2 linked regions of the Drosophila melanogaster genome follow. The protein of the gene in region 1 purifies or fractionates together with the protein of each later gene. This does not show direct contact. Each region holds a gene or a part of one and is shown on either strand. Other genes may lie near its edges. The genes, in order: Cdk9 and CG17601.

The links.
Region 2: the proteins of Cdk9 (region 1) and CG17601 purify together in Drosophila melanogaster (affinity purification with mass spectrometry, with the first as the bait; one large-scale study listed by BioGRID). This does not show direct contact.

Annotation. Positions count from the first base shown.
Region 1 is NT_033778.4:22,634,275-22,641,011, reverse strand, and holds Cdk9 (Cyclin-dependent kinase 9), read left to right. Parts: upstream 1-3,284; 5' UTR 3,285-3,421; coding exon 3,422-3,606; intron 3,607-3,668; coding exon 3,669-3,753; intron 3,754-3,812; coding exon 3,813-4,070; intron 4,071-4,138; coding exon 4,139-4,825; 3' UTR 4,826-4,949; downstream 4,950-6,737. Other genes in the region: RpS24 (ribosomal protein S24), read left to right, coding at 1-312; CG3732 (uncharacterized protein), read left to right, coding at 993-1,081, 1,159-1,475, 1,532-1,974; bonsai, read right to left, coding at 2,199-2,701, 2,761-2,894, 2,954-3,159; CG17807 (uncharacterized protein), read left to right, coding at 5,088-6,737.
Region 2 is NC_004354.4:22,544,218-22,550,323, forward strand, and holds CG17601 (uncharacterized protein), read left to right. Parts: upstream 1-2,879; 5' UTR 2,880-2,912; coding exon 2,913-3,575; 3' UTR 3,576-3,839; downstream 3,840-6,106. Other genes in the region: Cluap1 (clusterin associated protein 1), read right to left, coding at 1-6.

The sequences.
Region 1 (6,737 bases):
CTCCACCCAGGATTGTCGTCGGTGAACAAGACCGAGATCCGCGAGAAGCTCGCCGCCATGTACAAGGTCACCCCCGATGTGGTCTTCGCCTTCGGATTCCGCACCAACTTCGGTGGCGGCCGCTCCACCGGCTTTGCCCTCATCTACGACACCCTGGACTTCGCCAAGAAGTTCGAGCCCAAGTACCGCCTGGCCCGTCACGGCCTCTTCGAACAGAAGAAGCAGACCCGCAAGCAGCGCAAGGAGCGTCGCAACAGGATGAAGAAGGTGCGCGGTACTGCCAAGGCCAAGATCGGCACTGGCAAGAAGTAAGCCTGATGGAGGAAAGCTCGTCTGCGGGCATCGCCTGCTATTCCCAAAAGCTGCTGGTTATGCGTTAGTCAAACTTCTTTACCAACCAATCAACAACCGACAAAACAAAATCAGTGTTTACTTTTGGAGCGGCTTTTGTTTGTAAACTAAGGAAATAAAACTCTAAAAGTATACAAGTTCTTGTGGTTCATTGTCTGGGAAAGGCGCGAGTGCAATAGTTGTTTAATTGAAGTGTTTCTGGACCAATTTTATATGCAAAACTATTTGAAGAGTGGCGATAATCACAGATTGTTGTCAATAACTTTTGTTGATCTCTTGTACTCCTTTGGTGGCCTATTTTTACAAGGAAAATGTTTACAGCTTAGAAACCTGCGATTTATCGCAAATAAGTTGAAAGCTGGAAATCCTACCTACCCAAATATTTTCAATTGAATTGCAATTAAATTCCAAAATAAGTTTTGGAGTACCCCAAATACAATTTGAATGACCTATCGATTGTTGCATCGGAAGCCAGACTATCGATAACGGTATCGATGTTTTGACCACTTTATTTCGTACCGTATACAGAATATAATATTGGTAAAAAAAATCTGTTAAATGCTGCTCCTGAGGCCTAAGGAGGATCACTTGGACGCCCGTTAGCATTATCCTTTGGCAGAGGACGCAGCCAAGGCACAGACATGTCCAGTTCAAATGGAGGCGTGGCATCAGGGGCCGCGGGAAGCAGCGGCGTCGCTTCGCCTGGCGATTGGATTTGCCCAGATTACGAGTGAGTGCCCGTAAAGATGCAGTGATAGCGGCCAAGTGAGAAGTCCTGCGAGTCTCACACTTCCCTCGATTTTGCAGCTGTCGCCATCTGAACTTCGCCCGCCGTTTGCAGTGCAACAAATGCGACCGGGACCGCGATGGCAGTGATAAGCCGGAGCGCGACAGGGATCGAGACCGGGAGCGGGAACGCGGCAACGGGAGCAGCAGCAGTAGCAGCAGCTCAAGCAAGAAAAAGCTGGGCACCGAGATCGGCAAGGCGGCGGCCGACAAGTCGCGGGGCTTGTTCAGCGCCGAGGACTGGCAGTGCAGCAAATGCGCGAATGTGAACTGGGCCCGTCGCCAAACCTGCAATATGTGCAACGCTCCTAAGTTCTCGGATGTGGAGGAGCGGACTGGTGAGTCCGTAGAAGCCTGATCTGCTTCAAAACCCACTTAACCAGTTTCTTTAAAGGCTTTGGCGGTGGATACAATGATCGCGGCGTGGTAGAGTACAAGGATCGTCAGGATTCGGATAGCGAGTACGATGAGTTCGGTCGTCGCAAGAAGCGAAAGCACGGCGAGCATAGAGAGGACTCAAAGAGGCCCAGAAGGTCTAGCCGAGATGAGCAGCGGAATGATGAGGAAGAAGATGAGGACGACGACGAGGGAGACGACGAGGATCTATCAAAGTACGATCTCTGGGGCGACGAAGAAGTCACTTCCACGGATGTCAAGAGCAAAGAGGGCACTGGCAATGGCGACAAGGAGCGCAAGCGTACCTCACGCGACTCTACCTCTTCCGTGTCCTCCTCGTCGTCGTCCAGTTCGTCCAGCTCCAGCGACTCTTCGTCGAGCAGCTCGAGTAGCTCCAGCAGCGGCGGCAGGCGGAAAACCTCCTCGTCGGGCAGACGTTAGCTGCAACCGTACCCTTTAGGAACTTCTCTTTAATTGCGTCTGTTTTTACACATTTTTCTAAGGCAATCATGCTTGCCTTCTTATTTATTTGCCAGTATGCGCTCAGATGATCATGACATAGGGTACGATGTCCAGCCTAACTCTTAAAGTATAATAAAACATATAATTTAAGAAAACCAGCATTTACATTTATTGTAAGACACCGTAACATTAAAGAATCGGGCCTAATTGAAGCCATCCTCGTTTTGTTTCTTGCTGCTGGCGGCTGCCTCCGCCTGCTGCAGCTCCTTCAGCATTTCCAGCTGCCTTTTTGAGTCGGCGATCTTCTCTTCTGTCACGGTCACGGGGACATCGCAGGAAATCTGTTCCTGCCGCACGAACTGCATCTTCTTGATGGCCTCCTCAAGGAAGGGTATTTGCTGGGCCTGCAGCTGCTTATGGTAAGCCTCTAGCCGCTCTTCCTTTAGGTTTTCGCAGTATATGTCGGTCAACTTTTGGAGGGATTCCTTGCGGGTGATCCAGTGGAAATGTGTGGGCGGTGGCTTGTACACCAGGTCGAGTTTCTCGAGAATCCACTCGAAGCGGGGATAATCCCAACGTCTCAAGTACTTGAGGAACTTCTTGCGTTTGTCGATGAGCTCCTTGAGACGCACCTTGATCATCTTGTCGCGCGGATGCTTGTCCATGTGCTCCTGGTAGCGGCGGATAACTGCAGTCATTTTTGCCACTAAAAGAAGGGCAAATTTGGGGGGAACTGCTATATGTGCACTTTGCAAAGATACATACATTTGGCCTCCATTGAGCCGAAATCCTGGGCATGTCTTTGCACCTCCTTGACCATCTCATCGCGATAGAATTTTGTGGTCAGGTAACTAGCGTTGTTGCTCAGTTTGAACAAGGATTTAACTGACTCGTCGGCTCTACAAAATGGTGAGATGATGTAAATAAACTATTATATTGAGAGAATACTGCAACATACTTATCCAACTCCTTGCAGTCCCTGTATTCCGGCAGCAGTTCGTCGGCTTTCAGAGGAGGCAGCTTGGCTAAATCGCCGCTCTTTTCGGGCTTATAGCACGCGATCTTCTCGGGGCGCATCCATTTGATTTTCAGGTCCGACTTGAATGCATATTCCCGGACAAACTGCCGATGCCCTGCCTGGGCTATATTCAACAGTTTATTCATTAATTCGGCTTTTATTTGTTGGACAAATTTTGGCTAGGTTATATCACTTGGCCAGTGTATACCAACAATCGAAAAGTTATTACTACCCAGCTGTTTGACCCATCGATTTCTTATCGATAGGCCTTGACAGTGTGTGCACACCGGTATTTCTTTAGTCAACAGCTGTAGAAACACCAATTGTTGCCGATTTCTTTCTTTTCGACTGTCGGCTTCTCGCGAAACTGTGATTGTGAAAATTGTACAAATAGAGGCAAATTTAACCATGGCGCACATGTCCCACATGCTCCAGCAGCCTTCGGGGTCGACGCCCTCCAACGTGGGCTCCAGCTCATCGCGCACGATGTCCCTGATGGAGAAACAAAAGTACATCGAGGACTACGACTTTCCCTACTGCGACGAGAGCAACAAATACGAAAAGGTGGCGAAAATTGGCCAAGGCACCTTCGGGTAAGTCTCCAAATTGGTGAAAACTAACTTTAAACTAAAACATACGACCCCTTTGATTACAGAGAGGTTTTTAAGGCTCGCGAGAAAAAGGGCAACAAGAAGTTTGTGGCCATGAAGAAGGTGCTGATGGACAACGAAAAGGAGGGCGTGCGTGAAAAGCAACATCTTAAGAGACGAATTCCTTATTTATATATGTGCTCCCCTAGTTTCCCATCACGGCTCTGCGAGAGATCCGCATCCTGCAGCTGCTAAAGCACGAGAACGTGGTGAATCTGATCGAGATCTGCCGCACCAAGGCCACCGCCACGAATGGTTACAGATCCACCTTCTATTTGGTCTTTGATTTCTGCGAACACGATTTGGCAGGTCTTCTGTCCAACATGAACGTCAAGTTCAGTCTGGGCGAGATTAAGAAGGTTATGCAGCAGCTTTTAAACGGTTTGTATTACATCCACAGCAACAAGGTGAGTCATGTCATTAAGCAAAGTTTTGGTTTTACATTGTATGTATCTGTTTTCATTTGCATTACTAGATCCTGCACCGAGACATGAAAGCTGCCAACGTGCTGATTACCAAGCATGGCATCTTAAAGCTGGCTGACTTTGGCTTGGCCCGTGCTTTTAGCATTCCAAAGAACGAGAGTAAGAATCGCTATACCAATCGCGTAGTAACCTTGTGGTACCGGCCGCCTGAGCTGCTACTTGGTGACCGCAACTATGGTCCACCCGTGGACATGTGGGGAGCCGGCTGCATAATGGCCGAGATGTGGACACGCTCGCCCATCATGCAAGGCAATACGGAGCAGCAGCAGCTAACCTTTATCTCGCAGCTATGCGGCTCCTTTACGCCGGACGTGTGGCCGGGAGTGGAGGAGCTGGAGCTGTACAAATCCATCGAGCTGCCAAAGAACCAGAAGCGTCGAGTCAAGGAGCGCCTGCGTCCGTATGTCAAGGATCAAACCGGCTGTGATCTATTGGACAAATTGCTGACCCTTGATCCCAAGAAACGCATCGATGCGGACACAGCTCTGAATCACGACTTCTTCTGGACGGATCCCATGCCCAGCGACTTGAGCAAGATGCTGTCCCAGCACCTGCAGAGCATGTTCGAGTACCTGGCGCAGCCACGCCGCAGCAACCAGATGCGCAACTATCACCAGCAACTGACCACCATGAACCAGAAGCCCCAGGACAACAGTATGATTGACCGGGTTTGGTAGACTGCCAGAGGTGTACGCACCCGACTAATAGTTTCTCACCTTCAACTAGCGTTAGGTTATTAGGTTAGTGTACAATAAAAATATTGGCATTTGCATTAGCGCTTGCTCCAAATATACCTACATTATGTTTCTCTGCTTCTTATTATTCTTTATTCAAAGTTTCTACAATTACTTGAAGTTGCAAGAAAGGGTATTCACAATCGACTTAAGTATTAGAACAAAAAGAAAAACATTGAAAAGGGGTGTACACACTGGCCGCGAGATGCACGTTGAGGAAACACAGCAAAAGGTAAACAAGGCCAAAAAGGCGGATAAAAAGCAGCGAAGATGTCTGGCAATCATCAAAAGTGACTGCGAGGTGTCTCCAAGCGCTGAACCCACCCCTTACCTGGCGGTTCTCAACGTGGGACTCAGCAATGGACTCACGGAGGAGTGTTTGCTCACGGAGGCTGCCGCGACCGGTGGAAAAGTCATCCAAGTGGTCATGTTGCCGGGCAAATCGTACTGTTTTTTTATTTGTGCCAGCTTGGAAGACTCCCAGCTCATCTATGAGGGAATGCACAATATATCGACCATTGGACAACAGGGAGCTGTAGCCTACCTTAGCTATATAAGGCAACTACCGGCACTTGCGGGAAAAAGTGAGTGGAACAAGCCTCTTCCCAGAGGCCTTCACATAATTGCTGACTTTGTCACCGAAGAGGAGGAGTCAACGCTGTTGAGGGCCATTGGCGAGGATGGCAGAACCTCCGAAGTCACGGGATCTCTAAAGCATCGAAACGTCAAGCACTTCGGCTTTGAGTTTCTTTACGGCACCAATAATGTGGATCCCTCGAAGCCTCTGGAACAGTCGATACCATCAGCATGTGATATTCTATGGCCACGACTAAATAGCTTCGCTTCCACCTGGGACTGGAGTTCTCCTGACCAGCTGACAGTGAATGAATACGAACCCGGTCATGGAATTCCCCCGCATGTGGACACACATAGTGCTTTCTTGGATCCCATTCTTTCGCTGTCCCTGCAATCCGACGTGGTAATGGACTTCCGCCGAGGAGATGACCAGGTTCAAGTCAGACTTCCGCGCCGATCCTTGCTAATAATGTCGGGTGAAGCTCGATACGATTGGACGCATGGCATCAGACCGAAGCACATTGATGTGGTACCCAGTGCATCTGGCGGTTTGACCACTCAAGCCCGCGGCAAGAGAACTTCTTTGACTTTTCGACGCCTGCGAAAAGGTCCCTGCGACTGTTCATACCCCGCGCTTTGCGACACACAGCAAACCAAGGTACCACAGGAGTTGCACGCATCGCTAGCTGCTCAGGCCATCACTCTGGAGCAACAGAACGTCCACGAGGTGTACGATAAGATTGCGGATCACTTCAGCGAAACGCGGCACACGCCTTGGCCACAAGTATCTGAATTTCTGGACTCCTTTGAGCCCCAATCTGTGGTGCTGGACATTGGTTGCGGCAATGGCAAGTATCTAAGCTGCAACCCGCTGCTCCTGTCCGTTGGTTGCGACAGAGCGCAAGGACTACTTGCTGTAGGTCGTCGGAAGGGACAAAACGTGTTTCGATGCGACTGTCTTGTGGTGCCCGTTCGCTCGTCCAGCATCGATGGCTGCATCAGTATAGCGGTTATTCATCACCTGGCCACCAAGGAGCGTCGATTGGCCGCCTTGCAGGAGATGGCACGTGTCCTCCGACCTGGAGGACGTGCTTTGGTTTACGTTTGGGCCAAGGATCAGCGAAAGAATGATAAGAAGTCGACTTATCTACGTCAAAATAAGGCAGTGAACAAGGAGCGTACCACTGAGCAGCAGCAGCGTCAGAAGCAACATCAGGAACTGGAGCAGCAGCTGTCCAATAATAACCCACTTCCTGTTCACACTAATCGCACAGAGTTC
Region 2 (6,106 bases), on another chromosome or scaffold:
GGACATTCCTGGCTTCCAACGAGTTCACCTGTTTTTCTTTGGCTGCTTGCAATCGCTGCGGCTGCGCTGGCAATTGCATTTTCAACACCGTCATTTGTTGTGGTCGTTGGAGCTTTTGTTTGGGCCACCGAATCCCAAATTGATGGTTGCTAGGTAACGGAAAATGCATAGCGAGAAAATATGATAACGAACTCTAAACATTGATCCATTTCTAAAATATATTATTAATATTAAACTAAGATTATTGTCAACAACAATGTTGGTAATTTTAAACGGAATTTTAATAAGAAAATATTACATAAAATAGGAATTAAGATATATGTACTAAATTTCTCAAAAACAGCAATACATGAAACTGAAAATAAAAGCGAAATAAAATTAATTTTAACTTAAATAGGTTTTAGTTTTTTTATTTTAATACTTAAACAAATACAGGTTACTATCACTTGCCATATGAAATTTCTCGCAGTGTCCCCCTGCTATCCTTGGCTAATATTCATTCGATTGCTGTGGACGGTCGCACGGGGTTCACCTGGGAAACGGTTGCGCGGTTTCCATTCCATTAAAAATGTAGGAGTTGCTAAGAACGAATTATTGAAATACGATAATTGGGATTTTTACAAATTAAGCATACCCGACAGAGGGCGCCACTATCTCAACTGAAATTGACCTGTTGGGCACATAAATTTCAGTTTTTCTATATATCCTTTATTGTTCTTGTAATTTACTTATCATTGCACAGATTCAACACTCTGTTGGGTTATCGATGGTGTGATATTTTGGGAAGTTTGCGGGCGTTATAGTGGGCAAGACGACGTTCTGAAACACACTAGAGCTGTGTGTGTGTCACATTAGCTTTTACAGTGTATATACATATATACATATGTACATATATAGCTTATAGTTAATATTGATCGACAGATGGAAGATTCCGCTTGTGATCCTCATCAAGAATTTATATTTTCTAATTTTTTAGTTTTTATACAATTAATGGATATGAAAACCAAATAAAACTCTATTTATTTAAAAAGTCGAATGAACCCTGTTTCAATCATACAAGCGCACATTCAAAATGCCTAAAAGCGGCACTAAATTTGTTATATCCTTTTAGTAATATTCTTATGAAACAGGTAGAAGGAAGCGTTTCCGACCATATATTGTATATATATTCCTAATATACAATATATCCATGTTCGGCCGGACATCCGTATGAACGTCGAGATCTCAGAAATCTATCTATTTTTCAATAAAAGCTAGAAGGTAAAAGAAAGTTAAGAAGCATACAGATTCTAAAGACGTAGACGCAGTGCAGTTGCCCATGTTCCCAAGCCCAGTCTAACGCCCACAAACTGCCTAGAACTGTCACGCCCACACGTTTGCTAAATGTTTTAATACTTTTTCATATTATTATTAGTCTTTTAAATTGCCAATATTATATTATTTCCCAATATCTATCGATATCCGAGAAAAATTATGAAATTTCCCATTCGCATTTCCACTAGCTGAGTAACGATGAGTATCTAATAGTCGGGGAACTCGATTATATCATACACTCTTGTTTTGCTTAATATGGGGAATACGGATTTTACTAAGTAATAGTCTTGGTGCATAAGGAATAAATACATACCAAAACCAACCAACCACTAACGTGTATCTTCTGATAGTCGGAGAACTCATTCATAGCGTTCTCCCTTGTCTTGCTACGCATATTCTGATACTAGGGTATCAGATAGTTAAATAATTGAGGGGTTGTGCTCAAACTGTTTTTGTTTTTTGTATTTTATAGCGCACACAAATGTATTTTAAACCCGATCAGTAGCTGGAGGCCTTGTACTCAAAAATTGAGTAACATTATGAAATTACAATTGCTTTCACAAACTTCGCGTGCTTTGCTTATTGCGTGCATTTTCAAACTTTTTTTCTCTTCTATTCGCATCGATATCATACCGTTTAGTTATTGACTATCTCGTTATGGTTAAATTATTTCTGGACAAAAACCCGCTCGTTACACATACATATGTATCTATGGTGTGTGCAATAACATTTATTTGTATAAGAAACTAAAAAAATCAATGATTGATTGTAATAGTGTGAAGTCTAAGAGCTCTCAACAGGTGTTATTTATCTGTGAAATTGGCAGACAGCTTAATTTGTTAGATTTACAAGTTTTCTCGTTCATAAGCATGATCAGAAAATATATGAATGTAAATATATTTTCAGATCATGCTTATGATAGACTTATTAATCAATGATCAACCCAAATAAAATTCCTCAAATTAGGAGTTCAAATAAATAAATCTGGAGATCTCCTCAGCAACTACTGGAATACAATGCACGGCAAAAAGGTGATGGGAAAAGAGTATGTAAGGTTTTTTTTTAAATTATTATTTATTAAGTGAAGAATCCGTACATCATAATATTGTATCTTAACATCACAGGTATGTACAGAGTATGTAAGTAAAATAAGAGGTTTACATTTACCAACATGTTTAAATGTACTTAAGGATACCAAAACGAATTTTTAAAAAGGCTTTCTATTTGATTTTCATCGGTGCAAGTGTTGTACATACATATATGTATGTATGTATGTATCTGCTGATTGAAGCTCTACAATTTAGCGTTGGACAGTTAAGAGGGCTTCCCAGCCAATAGGAAGTTGAGTACATATATTTTTTCAAACTTCCGTTTTCATTGCGTTGAAAGGTTAGGCGTTAAGAAAAATATATATAAAATATTGATATAATTAACGAGTGATGTATTGAAAAAGTTCCTATCCGATTGGCCTTAGTAGGGTTTCCACCTTTCTTTTCCACTGACAGATTAAAAATATTAAAAGCAAACCCTATCAGGTTGTGACCTTACTTTTAACCTTATTTTCTCAGAGACGTTTGCATATAGTCATAACCACAGCTATGGCCCCAAGGAAACGGATCTCGAGGATTGCATCACGCAGTGTGGCGACTGTGGAGCAGTTCACTAAGCGCATCAACTGCCGCTCGGTTGGCACCCAAACCGATATCCTGGCTAAGGGTCCGGCGAAGCGCAAAAAGGTCGAGAACAAGGTCAAGCTGCTGGATTCGCAGCCACTGTCGTCCCAGTACTTGGCCATCCATCTGATGCCGGCAATCAATCCACTGGCAACTGAAACAATAAATCGGCGTCCGGATACATTCTCATATTTTCTCCCCGGTCCAAATGAGAAGTCTTGCCAGGCTGTGGCCGACCGAATCGCTGACGCAAGCGATCGGGTCATCACCGCTAGCTCCGGAGAACGGCAAATAAACCACCTGAAGTCTGTGGTGAGCAACCGCCGCGAAGAGGCCAACCAGTGGGATCGTAACCGTCTTGAAATTCTGCTGGCCCAGATCAATGGTGACCCGCCGCCGCGCTGGAACTCGGCCACCCAATTGTGGCTAGAGGTTGACATGCTGGAGAAGCGCATAGAGGCCTACGACCAAGAAGAACTGCAGAATGCCAAGAATCGCAATTTGGACAGGAAGCTAGACGGTGGGCAGGATAAGGGGCCGTCAGATGAAAAGGACCAGCAGACTTTGAAGACTTTGAAGGCAACGTAGCCTTTTCATATTTAATATTCAATGGCTAATAATGGTGGTCTATAAAGTCGAACTCGACTTGGATTTATACACATTGCATTCATTTGTACACACAAAAAATGGATTCGTTTAAATACTTAGACGATTCATTTTTTAATTATGACAACTGAATATGAATATGATATGATCAATATGATGAAATATTGATTTGCAATCATTGCCGTGGAAAATGGTAATCTTAAAGCAAATAAATCAGCAAAAATATGTGGATTTATGAATTACCGTAAAAATAGATTTATTATTTTAAGGACGCTTGTTGTAACCATTGATAATGATAATTTTTTTTAAACAACACATTTCTAGCGGCCTTCCACATTCGCTGTAAGTGCTTTTTGGTAGAATAGCCCGGTATGCCAGACCTTTTTTAAAGCAGCCGTCCCACGTTAGGCTTCATTCCGGGCAGTCATACGGTTCAGTCTGTGATTTTTAATTGCAAAACAAGTGGTGTGGATCGCTTGTTACCATATGAATGCCCCGAGTCGCGGCGATGACAGCCACTCACATGGGTCCTTGGTCCTGTGTGCCGTCTCCTTGGTCCTTGGCCTTCTCCTCAGTTGACAGCAAACCTAGCCACGCCCCAGGTCTCAGCCCACTCGTACCCACACACACCAACGCACCATCACACCAAACTAGTACACAAAACTAGCGCACTGATACTCACACCCATGGCACATCTTGTTGGGCTTAGGTTTGGGCTTGGGCTTTTGGCCATGCTTGAGTCTTTGTGCATATTTAGGTTGCGAAGGATGCCAAGGATGCAGTCGCTCCCCATGTCACTTGGCCTGCATTTGACGAATTTTCACGCGTCACGCTCAAAGGCTTCCTGCACGTCACAACCGCCAGTTTTGTCTGATTTTCCGGATGTTTATACGGCGCGCAGAGTATCTAAATTGGTTTTTTTTTTTTTTTTTTTTAATATATCATGAAATCTTAAGTAGGGACTCATATGCAACTGTAGTCCAACTTTGTATACTTCAATCCAAACTACAGGTTGTGCCAAACAGAGAGGAGGCTCAGTGAATCATACTTATTTTAAAGGGATGCTATACCTCATAAACTAATATATTGACATCATGAAACATCATTAAAGTAATAGTTTGTTCATATTTCTGCATAAACTTCACGTGAAAACAGGGGCTGATGTTCGTATTTGGGGACCTCCAAATTGGTACTGCCTGGTGTTTATTCAGGGGGCTGGGGTGGTCATATCAGCGTGGGCGTGGCTCGGGGGTTGGGTGATGGGAGGCGAACGAAGTCATCTTAGCTGGTTCTATTAACTCCATTGGCCCCGTCATTTGGGGGCCGGCGTCGGCTTGCATGTACTTATGTCAACATGTGCATATATTTGCATTGCCCCGGGCGACGCTCTGTCCGTCTGCGCTTCTCACGCCGAAGTACAGCCGAGTTGGACATTTATTAGCCATCTGTCTACCCTTCCAGGACTCCAATGTCGCCAGCAGCAATAAACATAGGAACATTGCGGAACGACTTTTCCTTTCTCTATTCCTCCAACAAAGGCTACCCGAGCTACCCGACTAATAAAGTTATTGCCCAAGTGCTGAATATTTTTATTTCACAATGAGATTCACAAACAGATGCCTTTTCAAGGAGTTCCAGAGCCGCCTAACCTGCTGATACGGCTGCAGTGGTGCTAGGCGGTAGACGCGGTCTATATGCTGCAACAGAGGAAACTAATCGGCAGCAGGCAAGCGATGAAATAAACTGAATTCCGCTTTTGCTAGTCGCTGATAGAAATGGCTTAGATTTGTATTTCATTTAAAATAAAATGTTAAATAGTTGACACAGCAGCAGCTGAGTGACAAAAAGAACAGCGGAAGAAAAAGGGCATCCAAATGTCTGGCATTGGGCTCGAAAACGTGGCTTTTATGGTCTTTCTCTTTGTTTATCTTTGTCAAAAACTAGATGTATAATGCTCGTTAAATTAGTTCAGCAATTGTATTTATTTAATTTTATATTTGTCATTTTTAATTTTTTGATACAAATAAATTGTATACATCTTAAGAAAAAGTTAGGAAAATATAATTTGACTTAATCTTGCCTCATCTTATTTTTGATTAAACTAAATTTCCACTTTAGCATTCTGTAATAATTCAAAATTATTTTATTAGGTATTTAGCGAATCTTTTTGTATTTCTTAGGGGTCACCACTGAGAGCTTATAGGCGTGGCAGACGAGCGTTCGGATGGCCAAGTTGGCCATTGCAAGTTGCAATGCGTTAAAGTTCCGTTGACGTTTCGCAGCCGGAGCCAATCTGAATCAGACTACAAACAGGCATTGTGGGGTCTCGGGTAGGTACGAGGATGTATATGCAGGTGGTTAAGGGGGGTGGCGGATGGGGGCAGTGGACGGGACATTGGCGAAACTTATGTATGTGCATACACTACCATGTGCAACTATAAACAGAAGGCAGATGAATGAAACCCGAGACACAAGCCTACAAGAAAGCACAACTGATTTAACATTTGGTTCAC